Caenorhabditis elegans: one gene and its partner. The protein of the gene in region 1 interacts with the protein of each later gene in a pairwise test. Each region holds a gene or a part of one and is shown in the gene's direction. Other genes may lie near its edges.

What was found. The genes of interacting proteins can lie anywhere in the genome.
Region 2: the proteins of frm-2 (region 1) and gfi-3 interact in a two-hybrid assay, tested with the Caenorhabditis elegans proteins (one study listed by BioGRID).

The regions. Positions count from the first base shown.
Region 1 is NC_003281.10:5,975,407-5,983,848, reverse strand, and holds frm-2 (Moesin/ezrin/radixin homolog 1), read left to right. Parts: upstream 1-2,532; coding exon 2,533-2,580; intron 2,581-3,329; exon of another isoform or gene 3,330-3,465; intron 3,466-3,985; coding exon 3,986-4,141; intron 4,142-4,375; coding exon 4,376-4,480; intron 4,481-4,535; coding exon 4,536-4,660; intron 4,661-4,705; coding exon 4,706-4,803; intron 4,804-4,859; coding exon 4,860-4,980; intron 4,981-5,476; coding exon 5,477-5,726; intron 5,727-5,834; coding exon 5,835-6,173; intron 6,174-6,409; coding exon 6,410-6,844; intron 6,845-6,900; coding exon 6,901-6,993; downstream 6,994-8,442.
Region 2 is NC_003284.9:14,478,769-14,486,084, forward strand, and holds gfi-3 (Protein gfi-3), read left to right. Parts: upstream 1-1,803; 5' UTR 1,804-1,805; coding exon 1,806-1,916; intron 1,917-1,966; coding exon 1,967-2,067; intron 2,068-2,117; coding exon 2,118-2,240; intron 2,241-2,429; coding exon 2,430-2,619; intron 2,620-2,668; coding exon 2,669-2,760; intron 2,761-2,802; coding exon 2,803-2,899; intron 2,900-3,243; coding exon 3,244-3,422; intron 3,423-3,481; coding exon 3,482-3,598; intron 3,599-3,643; coding exon 3,644-3,786; intron 3,787-3,849; coding exon 3,850-3,913; intron 3,914-3,967; coding exon 3,968-4,099; intron 4,100-4,145; coding exon 4,146-4,256; intron 4,257-4,302; coding exon 4,303-4,417; intron 4,418-4,508; coding exon 4,509-4,753; intron 4,754-4,804; coding exon 4,805-5,045; intron 5,046-5,362; coding exon 5,363-5,704; 3' UTR 5,705-5,934; downstream 5,935-7,316. Other genes in the region: M163.11 (ShKT domain-containing protein), read left to right, coding at 610-683, 743-1,129, 1,174-1,341, 1,392-1,488; M163.8 (ShKT domain-containing protein), read left to right, coding at 6,653-6,732, 6,792-7,125. UniProt on the Caenorhabditis elegans protein: Probable component of the anaphase promoting complex/cyclosome (APC/C), a cell cycle-regulated E3 ubiquitin ligase that controls progression through mitosis and the G1 phase of the cell cycle.

The DNA.
Region 1 (8,442 bases):
AACCTACTCATTTACCCGCATAAATTGGTAGAAGAGAACCACAAAATGAGATTTATTTTTTATATTGTACGTACATTTGTATATAGTTTTTGGTCTATGAATTGGTTTTTTTTAACTGTAAAGAATTTTTAGATAATATGCTAAAATAACTTTTTTTGGTTTAAAAACGGCTATTCGATTGTAACTGCACGGACCAACTTTTCCTACGAGACAGAAAAACGGGTGGTCTGAAATGGAGAATTTCATTAACAATCGGCTGCATAGAATTATAAAATCTATATTTTGTAAATATTAGGGAAGTTTCTAGATGATATATGGTAAAAAGCTCAGATCGACGATTTATCTTGTGGCTACCAACCAGTTATAACAGGAGTGAACAGTAATTCATACGATTCCAAAGTTCGAAAAAAAAGTTCACTAGATATACAGTAACCCTTCTGTATACTTTTTTGTCCAATTTTAAACTTTCATTTTCTCTTCAAACATTCTTTCTCTTTTTTCATAAAATCCTTGTTCACCTAAACATCCACTTCTATTCAACAAATACTTTCAACACTCACATGTGGTTAACTATTTCTTTTCTTGACACAGAGTTTCTATTCACTTTTTATTCCTGCGTCTCTACGCGTTTCAATTCTATCTCCTCTCACTCCAAAACTTATTTACCATTTGTTTTCACAGTCATCACTTCCTCAACCCACTCGAATAACATTTGTAATTCTCGCGCACAGTCCCATCCCACTTATTCTTTTCATTTTCGAGGGTCCCATTTCTGTCTAAATCTCTCCACTTCATATACTATTCTCGCATATCCTACCTCCAACTTCTCCACACAGCCGCCTGTCTCTACAACCTTTTCCATCTGTCTTTTCCGCTTTACAAGGCCATTTTTTGACTGATCCATCTCTAAACTCTCCTAGAATCACATGATATCTCGGAGGTGTGGACGTTCCTCTTGATTCGATTAACTCGGCCAAGTTCGTCTTAAGTTATTCTTTTATGATATATCTATTCATTTTTTATTTATTCTCCGAGAAAAAGTTGGATTTTGGTTTTAAATATTTAGCACGAAAATCGAAATTTGGATAACAAATTTCGAATTTCCAAACATCAAAGTTTCTCTACTAGTTAATGCAGGACTAGGAAAAACTAGATTTTTCATTAAAAAAGCAATTGTGATATTAGATTTTTTTCACTTTTCTTGTTTTTACCTAGAAAAAAAATGGGGTTAAAGCTTGTTTTCAAAATTTTCAGCCACTTTTTTAAACTTCCTAATCTAAAGGAATGATTTGAAACTTGTTTTTATAATAACGAATTGTTTATTAGTATTGTTGTACTTTAGTTTAAGTATGATGTACCAATTTGAATAATTGTTGAATCAAACATTTTCACTTTTTCAGTAATTGTATCTATGTACATAAAAATTTTAAAATTAATACTCTATTCAAATGATTTTTTTCAAATTCCAGTTCGTATTTGTAAATTTCCAAATTCTGGAAGATTCGTTCGACCTTTTTTCTAATGTTCTTCTATCTAAAATAAATTGGGATATTAGTATCAATCTTCTCATTTTTTATTATTTTCCTTTTTCAGTTCATGAAACACATACCCCTCCAAATATTTCACAATATGTATTTTTTGTTATTATTTCAGCCGTTTTGCATCGTTCTATTTATTCAACTGATTCTTCTTTTTCCAACTAACCAATTGTCAATCTTGCAGAAAAAACGAACGATATCCGGTGAGCAGCGGCTCGCTGAGCACCTATTTTTTAGAAACATCTGAAAAAGATCAGAGATTGGACTGTAAAAGTAAGTTTTGTTTCGGGTGTATAACCTCATATTTTCGAAAAATTTGAAATTACAATTCCCAATAAAAGTAAGGTTTTTCGAAATTTTCTTTTAAATTATTAATTAACAAAAAAAGTGACAATTATGTACTTTTGTCCAACTATTAATATATCTTAAATATGTTTTATTTGTATTTGAACATTTTGGGGTTAGAACATGCAGCAATGCTCAAAAACTTGTCAACAATTTTTTTTTTCAATTTGACAATTTACCAAAGCTTTTTTTCAATCCCTAGAAGATTCTCGAGATGACCTCCAAGCGAGTCATTTCTTCCTTATTTCTATCAATAGTCATCAGTCATCACTTGCGATTATATCACCCCTTTTCCTCGCTTATCATCTTATCAACACACTCGGTTCACTCAAAATATCAACAGCTTTTAGGACACTTTTCCTCAAAAAATCGACACCCCGTATGTAATACAAATACACACAAAACACGTCGTAACATAAAATTCTGAATCTGAAAATAGGAAAGTAGGTGGAGAAAGGGTACATTAAAAGCAGAAGAAGAATCGAACGAAAAGAAAAAGAGTGATAAGAATAAGAGAAGGGACACACAACACTCCGAGTGTTGCAGCTGATTATCAGTTGTGTCCATTCTTCGTTTTTCACCCTCGAAGAGTCAAACGGCCATTCGACTTTATTTTGAAATTCTAAGTTTTTAACAGAAATTCTTTATTATGTCAAGTGACGAGGAAGATGAGAACTCTCAAAGAGAGCCAAAAGATGTGAGTTTTCGGTTGAATCTAATGCAACTTACCGTCTACCGATTCACCAACTGAATACATCTATGTTTATTTGAGTTGGAAAACTGTCATCTTTAAGCCTACATGCCTGCCTACCACCTATTAAAAGCTTTTTGGCGTGAACATCAGTGTTTGATGCTGCAAAATATAGACTTGAGCACATTAAAATCATGAAGATGTAACATGCAAGCATAAAATATGATTCAAGTAACATTTTGTATGCTCATTGGGTGAGCACACAAAATGGAAAATTGACACAATTGTAGTAAGGTCAGTCGTGCAACATTTAATTGCAAGATTACAACTGCATAGAAAATGCAATTTGAAAAGAGAACTTCAAAAATTCTGTAAGACAGCCAATGTACCGACGCAATAAATCTTATTTTGGTGCAAATGTGTTTTTATAAACCTGTGCCATTTCAAATTTAGCTGTGTCCCTAAGCTTCATTTTGCTCTCTGTATTCTCTTTCGGTGCTCTTTCCAAAAGCTCCACATCTGGTACCTATTGCTCCAAATGAACTCTTTTGCTGACCCTGATGTGCAACAGATGCTTTGCGCGCACACACATGTTACTTTTTTCCAATTCATTTGATTCGGTCGGACACTCACTTTTAGATATTCCCATATACCATTCCCAACAACGACAAAATATAGATAAACATTGATCAAACCTCAAGTTAATTTACGCATCTCTTTGTCTGCGTCTCTACATCTTTCTCGATCTCTTCATCTTTATTTACGTTTGCTCTTCATCTCTGTTCAAAACCGTAACCGGCCAAAAGAGGGAAGAGCAGAGAGATAGAGTGGTTTATAGTGAGACGCAGACATCGGTGCACCGGGCAACCAGCCGGCTCGCCATAAATCGTCGAATTCTATTGATTGACTTTTATTGTATTTCTATTATAAAAAGTTGAATTTCAGAATTGTTTTGTGTTTTACTTTTTACTATGAAGTTATTGCAAGAGCTGATTTGGTAAGAGCCCTCTTACTATTTTTTTTTCAAAAATATGAATTTCGAAACACTAATAAAGTTCATTTCTGATTCGTTTTTGATATAATCATTAGCTTCATTGACGTTTTGGAGTACTGCTCAAAAAATATAGCTCCTAACAAGTGTAACTCTAAAAATTTGGGTTGTGTAAAGTTTTGGTTTTTTTTGAATTTTTTTAATGTGCAAAATTAATCTCTCAATTTTGAAAGTAAAACAAAAACTAAAAGATTTTTTTAAAATTGAAAATATTTTTTGTTTATGAAATATTTTTAAATTAAAATGTTAACCTCTAAAAATACTAATCAACAGTTTCAATTTTTAAAAAAGTCCAGAGCTGTGTGCCAAACAAATCCAGAAGTTGGTTTAAACTCTTAGAAACTCTTTGGTTATTTTCAGATGTCCTGGATGTTGCGAAGTCTATCAGCCAGATTCTCACGGAATCGTCAACAGCAACAGAAGTCACAAACACAGGATGCAAGCTTTGATACGAAAAAGTTTGTTCAGTGCAAGGTGCTTCTGCTTGATGGAGCACATTTAAATATTGTCGTGCCGGTGAGTGGTCTTTTTATTTTTGAAAATAACTGTTATTAAATGTCGGTTCTTGTAGAACTATTTTGGCAAATTAGTGCCTGAAATTCAAAGAAAAATGGAGTCAAAAATCATAGATAAACCTATTGCGAATAAAAAAAGTGGCAAAATGTGTTGCATATGCAGATTAATTATTTTTTAAAAAGTTTTTATAATTCTCGAACATCCATTCTAGTATCTCAAAATATAAATTTTCAGAGAAACGCTGTAGGAAGTGAACTTTACGAAGAAGTATTCTACTCGCTTGACCTAGAAGAGAGGGACTATTTTGGCCTGCAGTACACAGATCCATTCAATGTTCAGGTATTCATTTAATTATTTCTTTATTTTATTTTTTCAAACCTTTTTATATTTCCAGCACTGGCTAGACCCTACAAAAAAAGTTGCAAAACAAGTGGCAATTGGACCTCCATTTACTCTTCGGTTTCGTGTTAAATTCTTTACTTCGGAACCTTCTAGCAATTTGAAAGAAGAGCTTACAAGGTATACTTAATCAGTAATGTATTTTTTTAAAATAAATTTCTGCAGGTATCAATTCTTTTTGCAAATAAAACAAGATATCTCCTCAGGACGTCTGCAATGTCCACATCAGTTAGCAATTGAACTAGCTGCTTTTGCACTTCAATGTGAGTTTTTTTTCAATTCTAAAAAAATTAAGCATTTTAAACATAAAAAATTTCAGCAGAACTAGGCGATTACAACCCAGAACTTCATACAGCCCTCTTTATCTCAGAATTTCGATTTCATCCGGAGCAAGATGAAAAAATGGAAGTCGAGATATTGGAGAGGTACAAAGCGTGCCGGTAAGTTTTTTTGTTATAAAATTAAAAAAAAGATTGTTAGAAAACTTTACAGCACATGTAAAATATAGTCTAAAAATTTAAAAACTGGAAAACCTTTTAGAGTTTGATATTACTTTCCCGAAAATGTCAATTTTTGAAATGCATTATATTGTTCTGGTATTTGCCAGAAATCAATATTCTAATCAGTGTGAAACCCGGGATTTTCTGCTGGATCAAATTAGAGGACACCTGAAAGTTGAGAGAAACTTGGTTAGACGTAAATATTTCAATCAGGAAATTGACTATTTGAGAATCAAAACTACATAGATACAATTTTAAATTTGATAACAAATGTTTGATAATTTCAATCTTAAAGAACAAAAAATACACTTATTTGAAAATTGCAGTATTTGCCTAAGTTTCAAATAAAAACATTTCGGACAGAAAAAAATTACCTAATTGGTTTTATTTTCAATTTCATGCTTCTCAATCTAAAAACTAAAATAACATTTTTCAGTGGACAAACTCCGGCTCAAGCGGAGTTGAACTACTTGAATAAGGCACGATGGATTGAAATGTACGGAGTAGATATGCATATTGTAGAAGGAAAAGATGGAAATACATATCGATTGGGTTTAACTCCACAAGGAATGCTGGTATTTGATGGTCCACAGAAAATTGGACTCTTTTTATGGGAAAAACTACAAAAATTGGATTTCAAAAATAAGAAAATTACACTGGTTGTCGAGGAGGATGCTGATCAATCGGTGAGTTTTTTTAATGAAAAGTTTAATGAAGATTAGAGTAGCAGTTTTGTACAATTTATTAATTGAAAAAAATGTGCAAAATAACTTTAAAAATAGTAACTTTTTCAGAACAATGGCCAAATCCAGCTGCACACGTTCGTTTTTCACTTGACGTCTGAAAAAGCGGCAAAACATTTCTGGAAATGTGCCATCGAGCAACACGCATTTTTCCGCCTCAAATCTCGCCCAATCCAAGCGAATCGCAAAATTCAGTTCTTCCGGTTAGGAAGCACATTTAAGTATAGAGGCAGGACAGAATATGAAACAATTCATAAGGAAGGAGCAAGATTATCACGAAGACAATCATGCTCATTTGAAAGAAGACCTAGTCAGAGATATGGTCCACGGCAAAGTCATGTGACAAATGCACAAATTAGGGATGCAAAGAGAGCTGAAATGAGGCAACAGGTACATTTCACGCTAAAAATTCAACAAAAATTGGAGTAATTATTTAGAGTTTATTTTTCGATTCATGAAACATTTGGCATCGATCTAACGTTCAATTTTAAATTTTGCTCACTAGTCAGTTCAAAAGGTTTAACCTATCATTTTTGGAAAGTCGGATACAATTTTTTAAAAAACTTAAAAATTTTTTAATTTCTGAATTAGCTTAAACTCAAAAATGCAAACAAACTTTTTTCCAGATAATTGAGCAACAAAGAGCCAATGATCAACAGCGAACCCATGCAAAATCAGATCCAACTTCTCCACATTCAATAATTCAAAACGTTCCATTACCAACATCTCCAGACCTCAAAAAACCAGTAAACAACAGTAATCCATTTATTTCGGATCCTTTAACACCTTCATCATCATCATCATCATCCTCTCATAATCTGTCACATGTAACTAAAATAACAGTTGGAACAATTGGAAATCTCGATACTCCATCATCTTCTGCTGCCCCATCTTCATATATTCCACGTCCAGTTGTCTCAACATCCACATCATTCTCACATCCGCCACCACTTCCAGCTCATCAGTCAAATTCGAAAATTCCCAGAATGAGCAGTGCATCGGAGCAGCGGAAGAGCTCACAACCTCCACAACCAGCTGTTCGAATGCAGACTCAATTTGAAGTAAGTTAAATTTATTGATGGACAGTATGTTTTCAAATACTCCATAAACTTTCCAGGAGCCACGAAAATATTCACAAAATGGATGTGCTCCGCCATCTCGTATTGTTCCCCCAATGCAACATCAACGGAGAATTGTCACAGACTTTTGATAATGTATTTACATTTGCAGCCTTTATTTTGTTGTTTTCAGTCATTTTTCATATAATGAAATGATTTTCTTTCTTATAACATTTTCAGATAATTTCTAATCGCACTTTATAAAATGATACAAAAATTTCGTATTTTCTCGAAAAACCCAAAAACTCCGGCTCCTGCCTGAAAAGTGCTAGAGTCTTCTAATCTGGTCACTCTTTTCATTCCACGTGTGTCTATTTGCACCGGCTCGAGTGCAATCGGGATATTCCCCTCTGAAATCCAGTCCCTCCATCCTGTTTTCTCTCACTCATTTTTTCACTTTTTTGCATTTTTTCCACCAGAGAAACTATTTGTCTTCATTCTCCTTCCTTTCCTCCTCCAACAAAATCTTATGCTCTCCCGCCACCCCCACTCACTACACAAACACTGACGATCGTTTTGAGCACAGCCAATTTCTTTCCGATTTTCGATCAATTCAGACTGTGTTCTGTGTAAGTACTTTGCCCTCCTTCCCTTCACTGGACTTCATCTGAAGCCACCACTTCCACACGTTATCCTGAATTTGAATGTGGAATGTTTGGAAAAGTGATGATGATTGTATGATAACTATCGAGAGACGTAGACATAGAGATATCTCCGATCCACTAATTGGAACCAGAGACTGACTGACTGACCCCCCTCATCAACTCTCTTCACTTCACCACACCTCCCGATTTTTATTACATTTTTGTGTGACCTCCCTCCCGGGCGCTAGTACACTTTTAGGTCGTGGTCCCCCATTTTTACACCTTTACACTTTATCGGAATATCTGCGCAGATATTGGCTATTGTAGGGCTTTCGAGTAAGCAAATAGCTTACTAGGCAACTCTGATATAGAGGTTTTATGGTTGCATAAGCATGAAATTATAGGCTCTTCCAAGAGTTTCTTGATCTCTTGGCGGTCTTTTCTGTTGTCATATTCTTTTGTTTCAAATTGCCCGATGTTATACAAAACAGTGCCAATTTTCAATGCGAGCAGCGGTCTTCTTGTAGTCAGGGTTTTAGTGCTCTCAGCAATTTCTTAAATAATTTGTTTTTAATTCAAGGCTGCGGTGGCCCTTCTCCAAAGTTATAGTTCTTTCCCAATTAAATTCTAAATGTTAAGTGTTTTTGTGTGAAAATTCCTCATATATTGTTACTTTCTGATTTTGTTTTTGCCATCATATCTTGATTACCTTCTTTCCTTTTGGCAGTTGTTCATTTCATTCATTTCTTCCCCCCGTTCGTCATTTCTTCCTTTTCGCCCCCATTCCTGTAACTTTTCTCATTGGCTCTTCCTTACTGCTCTTTGAGCATCCTTGTGTAATTCTTTGACAGATAGAAGGACGGGAAACCAACTGTTCTTCTCATTCTCTACTCACCCAAATCACTTCGTACTCTTTTAGTTACCCAGAAAGTTCTTATTTTTCCTTTTAGTTGACGT
Region 2 (7,316 bases), on another chromosome or scaffold:
TCATATCGACGATATGATTAATATTGCTGGGTTAAGAAAGTTAAGTTTAAAGGTTTAAATTATCAGGCGAGATGTTTGAACAGAATATCCGAATTCTACAAAAGGATAAGCCCAATGCGGGGCTCGAACCCGCGACAACCAGATTAAGAGTCTGGTGCTCTACCGACTGAGCTAACCGGGCCGCGAAATTTGAAGATGATTGAAAAAAATAAATAGTGAAAAATGATATCGTTATCAAGAAAACGTAGCATGTGGCGTTTGACCTTCATCATTTGCAGACGCAGGTTTGCTGGTGTAATATCAATGGGAAAATGAAATAGTTTTCACCGATTAAAATTTTAACTGTAATAATAATTATTATTGGCTGATTTCATTAAAACATAGTTCAGAAATAAAAATTCATTTGTCTTTTTAAGATCAGCAACTTTATGATTCATATGATCGAGCGCAACTTGTTATAGACCTATGTATTCATTAATAGTTCCTCCTCTAGGTGCCAATGCTTATTAGGGGTCAAAACGTTGTGACAGTTGTTCAAACAGGAAACAGATCGGATAAAAGTTAGCCAGTGAGGGCCCACAGAACATTCAACTTTCAACTCTCACTACCATGAACACCTTCTTCGTTTTAACAATTGTTTTCTTTGTTTCAAGCGCTGAAATGTGCTCCGACTCGGCTTCAAAGTAAGTTACAGATTATTTATTCAGTTTGAAATTTGAAATTTCATTTTTTTTTCTTCCAGCTGCGCGAACTGGGTTGCCAATGGGTTTTGCACCTCTACATTCTACACTACCGCTCAGAAAACCCAATACTGCGCATCAACCTGCTCTTTGTGCTCTGATTCTTCAGATTCTAGCTCTTCATCGTCCACTGCTTCTACAAGTTCTTCTTCGTCCACAGCTGCAACGTCCAGTGATGATTCTTCTTCATCTTCTTCATCATCTTCCAGCTCCGCGTCTTCAACATCTTCTTCAGACACAACAACAGCTGACAGTTCTTCTACTACATCCTCTGATTCTTCAACAACCTCTTCCAATTCTTCATCATCCACTTCATCCTCAGATTCCACATCTGTCGTATCTTCTACATCTTCCTCAACCACTACCACATGTGTAGATTCTTTTTCCACGTAAGACTTGATTATTTGCCACTTGCAAAATAAAAACCTTCTAGATGTACTTCCTGGGCTGCTAATGGATTTTGCACTTCTTCCTTCTACACTACTGCTATCAAAACTCAGTACTGTGCAGCTACCTGCTCTCTGTGCTCTTCTTCCAGTGACTCTTCTTCGTCGAGCTCTACCGCTTCTACATCATCTAGTTGCACAGATTCAGCTTCATCGTAAGATCAATCAATTCTACTGACTAGCCTAAAACAAGTTGAACTTTCAGATGCTCATCTTGGGCGGCCAACGGCTTCTGCACTAACAGCTTCTACACAGATGCTCAACGTGAACTCTACTGTGCTAAAACTTGCGGATTATGCTAATTTCATCGTTCCTCTTTTATTGTAGTTTGTCTCTAGTAAACTGAATGCATATCAAAACCATGTCTTCATAATATCTGTTGTGTGTTGTTTGAGAACGGGCCATACCGATGAGAGAGTGCACAAAATAAGAGAGTTTTCTCTGCTACATGGTGTGTCCTCCCGCCCGCCCCTCCTCCACGAGAAACACGCCAGCAAACCAATAATGCGCCTGCAGCCACCGACCTGCACCGATCCCTCTTCATTTTTTTGAATTTTAGTCGTCTATTTTCTAGTATTACCTTTAAAAAACAAGGTTTTTATATATTTTTTTTCCAGAAATGCAGAAAGCGGCGCCGCGGCCCATCATCAAACGGAGTTATCTCAACTTGGATGCAATTTTCGGCCATGTCTTCTCAAATTTGACAGGAGAGCCAGTGACTCCAACAAAAGTAAGTTTTTTAGTTTAGAAAACCTTCAAAGTACTAAAAATTTACTTAAGATTGCAACGTTCTACCTTCTTCGCATTCTTTTTCAAACACACTTTGGATTCCGTCACAAACGTGCTTACTACAAACCATTTAGCCCCGCCGAAAAAGAACGGTAAGTAGTTTGGAAAAATTTTAAAAAAAGAAACCAAATTCATGTTTTAGAATCTTCCATTGGCTGTATGCATTGATGACGTCAGTCGTGGAGCTTTCTTATAAGGACTTCAGAATTGTCACTCGACTTGCATTTGATGACGGCCGTGAAGTTTGTAAAAACTTTTATGCAGCGTAAGTCAAACGATTTTCATTTTATACAATTAAAAAAACATTATAATTTATTGTAAACTATTATAAAAACTAGTCAAACAATTCGACAATAAATTAAATGCAATAATGTTTCTTAGCTCGATTTTCTGGAGCATTATAAGCATAATCAATAATACAAAACAATCCGCTGGCATCTCTCCATTCTTTCAGTATGGAGAAAATTGGCGCCGGAATGGCGGATGTTACTCTTAACGTTGAAGATGAGTTCTACACCAACAAGCACCCAAAGGATCCGAAATTGCCAGCAAATGACACTGTACATGAAGCTATGGACTTGGCGCGCGGAGACATTATCCAGTTTTCTTCCAATCACTCGTTTATGTACAGATGGATGAAACGAGTATGATTTTTCAATCGAAAAAATTTGTTTCAGTTTGATTATATTTCAGCTCCTGGCACAATACACCAAGTCAACTCCTTCAGAAGTGTTCCAGATAAATGCAGCCATGAAATCATGGGTTTTGTCTGCTGTTGAATCAAAGTAAGTGACGAAGCTTTGCTAAAAATACCGAAACTTTTGCAGATATCATCCCGAGTTCAAGGGAGAGTATCTTCCACACTTCATCGACTGTTCTGTCAGAGCAAGGGATTGGGTTGCTAAGAGCATTTACTTCATTCAGGTGAGATACTATTTGAAACTAAAACTCCCATGCGGTCGCCGAGCCAGCCTCACGTCGTCACCCTCGCCGCATGTACAGTGAAGCGCAGACCTCCGAACGTGTCGGCCGCTTCCAGCCCACCACCTTTTCACACTACGTTGCGCACACACCATGCTACTCATTTCACGCTGAGCTGCGGAACCCCGAACGTGTCGGCCGCTTTGAATGACTACCTCTCGAACTTCATTTCACACACACAGCGGCGCGCGGCGACGGCGTGAGGCCCGGATTTTGCGCCTCACTCAGCTGGGAGCTCTGTTTGAAACTGACAAAAGAAAAGTAATAATGTTTCCATGTTTTTACAGAAGAACCCACGTTTTGCCTTCCAATATAACGAGATGCTTCACTACACCCGGATCGTACAGAAGCGACACCCGGACGTTGTTGAAGGGTTCCTGCTAGAGGCCATTGTGCAAGTTCAATTGAAAGATAGCTCGTCGGCTATTAAGGCAATGAAATCGTTTTTCGAGTTGTCCATGTTTGAGTAAGTGTTATACCGTTATACCGCCACCGAGGTTTAAGAACAAAAAAAATAATTTTCAGACTAAATGAGAACATGGTGCATGCCGCAAAAACGCATCGATTGGCAGTTCCAACTCAAACCCCGTTGATGTATGCACCGATTCTTCAAGCCAGAATTTGCAGAATATTTGGAGACTAGTAAGATATATCAATAAAGAGTACATAAATATTCTCATTTTCCAGCCAAATGGCTCGTCTCCTGCTCCACGAGAGTCTCCAACAAGCCCAGCTCCGAAATGATGAGATTTGCCATCAAATGGCCAACATCGAAATGCACACTGTCGACATATTGGGATGCAGGGCGCTGCTTGAGGATAACAATGAAAGTGAGCTCGTCTATTATTTTTTGAATCAATAAGAACTAAGACAACAACAAATCAAATTTGCAGAAACCGCTAAGCACATTGAAAATGAACGGCGAGTTCAGAGAAAAGCCTTGCTGCACATAGACGAGTAAGTTGGATTATCTACTAGTATAGAGTCATAAAACTAATTAGTACATTTCAGTCTTCACGGACATACGCGATCCGGGCCTTGCTGTCTAAGTTCTGAAGAAGATTTTGAGCTTGTCGCAGAGATGGACTCATATGGAAAAATGCTCATGTTGATGAAGATCATTGCAGAAGGAAACTATAAGCTGTGAGCATTCAATCAGAGACGTCGCTTTAACTTTCCAAATTTACAGGATCTACGACAGAGTTGCGGAAACCGGAATAACGTGTCCAGTCGGTAATGATCTTGGAGAACGAGGACGAAAAGTGGCTGCTTATGGAGCTGCTCTGATATCTAGTAACATGTAAGTAGCTCGTTGCAAATGGCCTAGAAACCATTCTGAATTTCAGGATTCATAATGGAATGTATCATCAAGCAAAGTGCGCCGCAGAAAACATGCTGGCAAACAATTGCAGAACCGATGAAACAGACCCCTTCCAGGCTCCTTTTCAGGCCGAACCTTGGGTAAGTACAAGTTAGAACTGTGACAAATAATAAATTGGTGCAAAATTTATATGTATCTAATGAAATTCAAGTATGATGTATCAATTTTCAGGCAATTGGTGCGGTAAACCTATCTTATTCACAAGCTGGAGTCGGAAACTACGACGCGGCACTAAGAACTATTGAGGAAATGCGACAAAATTATCCGGAAGAACTTTCTTGGCAGTCCAACCGTCACGTTGTCATTTGTGCAGCTGTCATCAACTTTGAAAGATTCTTATTGAAAAATGACTACAAGGCTTGTGCTTCTGAAGTTTTGAATCTCGCAGCACACTCTGAACTAGAATGCAAGCTTCGGTGAGTTGCAATTGAAAGTATTACCTCATTTAATTTCTATAATTTTTTTAGACAAGCTCTTCTCCTCGCCGCAGCCGGAAAAGAACGGGCAAGTGTTGAAGTGTTGGAGGGATTGAACGTTGTGGACATTCGTGGAAGAATTCGAATTCACATGCAAACAGGATGCATTTACACGGCTAGTCAAGAATTTAGAAAAGCTGCAAGAGAATTTGCAGACGCCTTGAGTCTTGCTGAGAACACCACACTGAAGGACATTGTGCCAATGGTCAAGAGAAGACAAGCAACTATGCTGGTAAGCATTTTATGTAAAGAAAAAATTGCATGAATTTTTTTACGCCATCTTGATATTTCACTGAAGAATCTACAAAGTGGAGCACTGTCGTTAGGGTTTTGAATCCGTAAATTTTGCGCTGCACTCCGAAAATTATTTTTTATTCAGCCTTAAAAATTGTTTGAAGTGAGATGTTTGAAAACATAAGGTATTGTATTTTTTATAGATGTCACCAGATATGTCAGACTATACTCGCTTACTAGTTAGATAAAATAAACGTTTTCTGAGAACATCGCATTTATCAAATGAAAAACAATTTTTAGAATCTAAATTTACAGATGTGCCATGGTCAGTATGTCGAATGTCTGAAACTTTTGAAAGAATGCAATGAAGGCATTGAACAGTTTGGATCATTTACCGAGAAGGCGTGCTACTACATGACAGCGGCCAGATGTCATCGATTGCTAGGGAAAGATCCGCGGATGTGGTTGAAAAAATCCCGTGCCCTGGTCCGCAACGGGCAATGGCCGGCGTTTACCAAGCTCGTCCTCTCCGAAATTGCTGCTCTTCATGACGTCAAAGGACTGATGCCTGATGAAAATCGTCTGTCGCAGATTTGTGAGCAATTTGGTAAACTGACTGCTGATTGTCCCGGCCGATGCGAATGGCTCCTCATCTGATGATGTTTCAAACCAATATTCTTGTACACACTTTTAAAGTGCTTCATTATCCAATCCCAAAGACCCCCGTCTGTTCTTACATTCAACGATCTTGTTTCAAAACTCAAACAGGTTTATGAGCTTCACAGTGTATTTTTACGAGTCTTTCTTGCTCTATTTGATTTTGAATTTATGAACTTTTTGTAAAAAAATTGCTTTTGAAAAATTGGAAAAAAAATTGAAAAGGAATGTTTTATTGCAATTTTTTTGATTTTATTTTATTGCAGATACCATTTGTGCAGTTTGAATGCTTCTTACCAAATGTCAGAAAACATATTTCTGGTAGCTAAAATACATTTACAACTGTAGCAAAAACGTGTTGTGCAAGTTTTTTAATAGCAATGAGATGTCTATTTTTTTTTAAATTAAATTGAATCATTATCGAAAGTGATTAATTATAGGAAATTACGAAGAATAGAAAGGATTACTTTGTTATTGGATGTTTTACATGTTCTCATGTAAATTTATTGCTAGCCAAACTTATTTGTTGTTTTAAAGCGTGACCTCATTGAATCAAACGTTTTTTTAAAGATTAGTAAAAAAATTAAAAATTAACCGGCTACTGAAAACCCCACCCCCGCAAAATTCCTATTTTGGGTGAAAATTCCGTATTTGCAGTGAAACAATGCCAACTGAAAGCATCACTCCAGTTACTCATGACAACTCAAATAGGATATGTGTACATAATGATTAATTTTGCTAACTTTCCATATCCGTTATAACAAATGCAAACATCGTTTTTGAAAATGGATACTGTTAGGATCAAACACCTGATGATCCCACCGATTTGGCACTTTAATGGATCAACTAACTTTTTGGAAAAGCTGAACAAACGTAAAACAGTTTTATAAAAGGCATTCTATCAGAACGCATTGTCAGAACACATTCAGTTTTTGAATTAAATCAAAAATGTCATCTACTTCTTTGTGCGTCTTGGCTGTTCTTATCATCTTCTCTACCGTAGAAATGTGCATGGATGTTAACCCAAAGTAAGTAAAAATTCAGCATTTGCAATTTTTTATCACTGCTGGAATTGATAATTTTCCAGCTGCGCTAACTGGGTATCCAACGGATTCTGCACCTCATCATTTTACTCTGATGCTCAAAAAACCGAATACTGCCCTGCGTCCTGTAGGCTTTGTTCGGGTGCTAGTAGCACAACTTCCTCTTCGGCTTCTTCGTCTTCTTCAACCTGCGGGGATAGCAACAGTAATTGTGCAAGCTGGGCTTCAAATGGGTTCTGCAACTCCACTTTCTACACTCCTGCTCAAAAAAGCCAATACTGCGGAGCCACTTGCAACCTTTGTGGTGGCGCTTCTGTGGAAACTTCTTCTGGAGTTGCAGCATCAACCACAGCAGCAACTGCTACCACTTCCGCCTAAATTGAATTATTTTTTGTGATTATTGAATGTAGGTAGCAAGCAATAAAGCATTCATTACTTTTAATACGTTCAATTTGTGGAACAGCAACACATTTAGAATGTTTTTTAATTTATTATTTCGAATTTTAATTCAAAAATAGTTAATATTGACATTACTTTAATTTAAAATTGTTTCATTTCAGAACACGGTC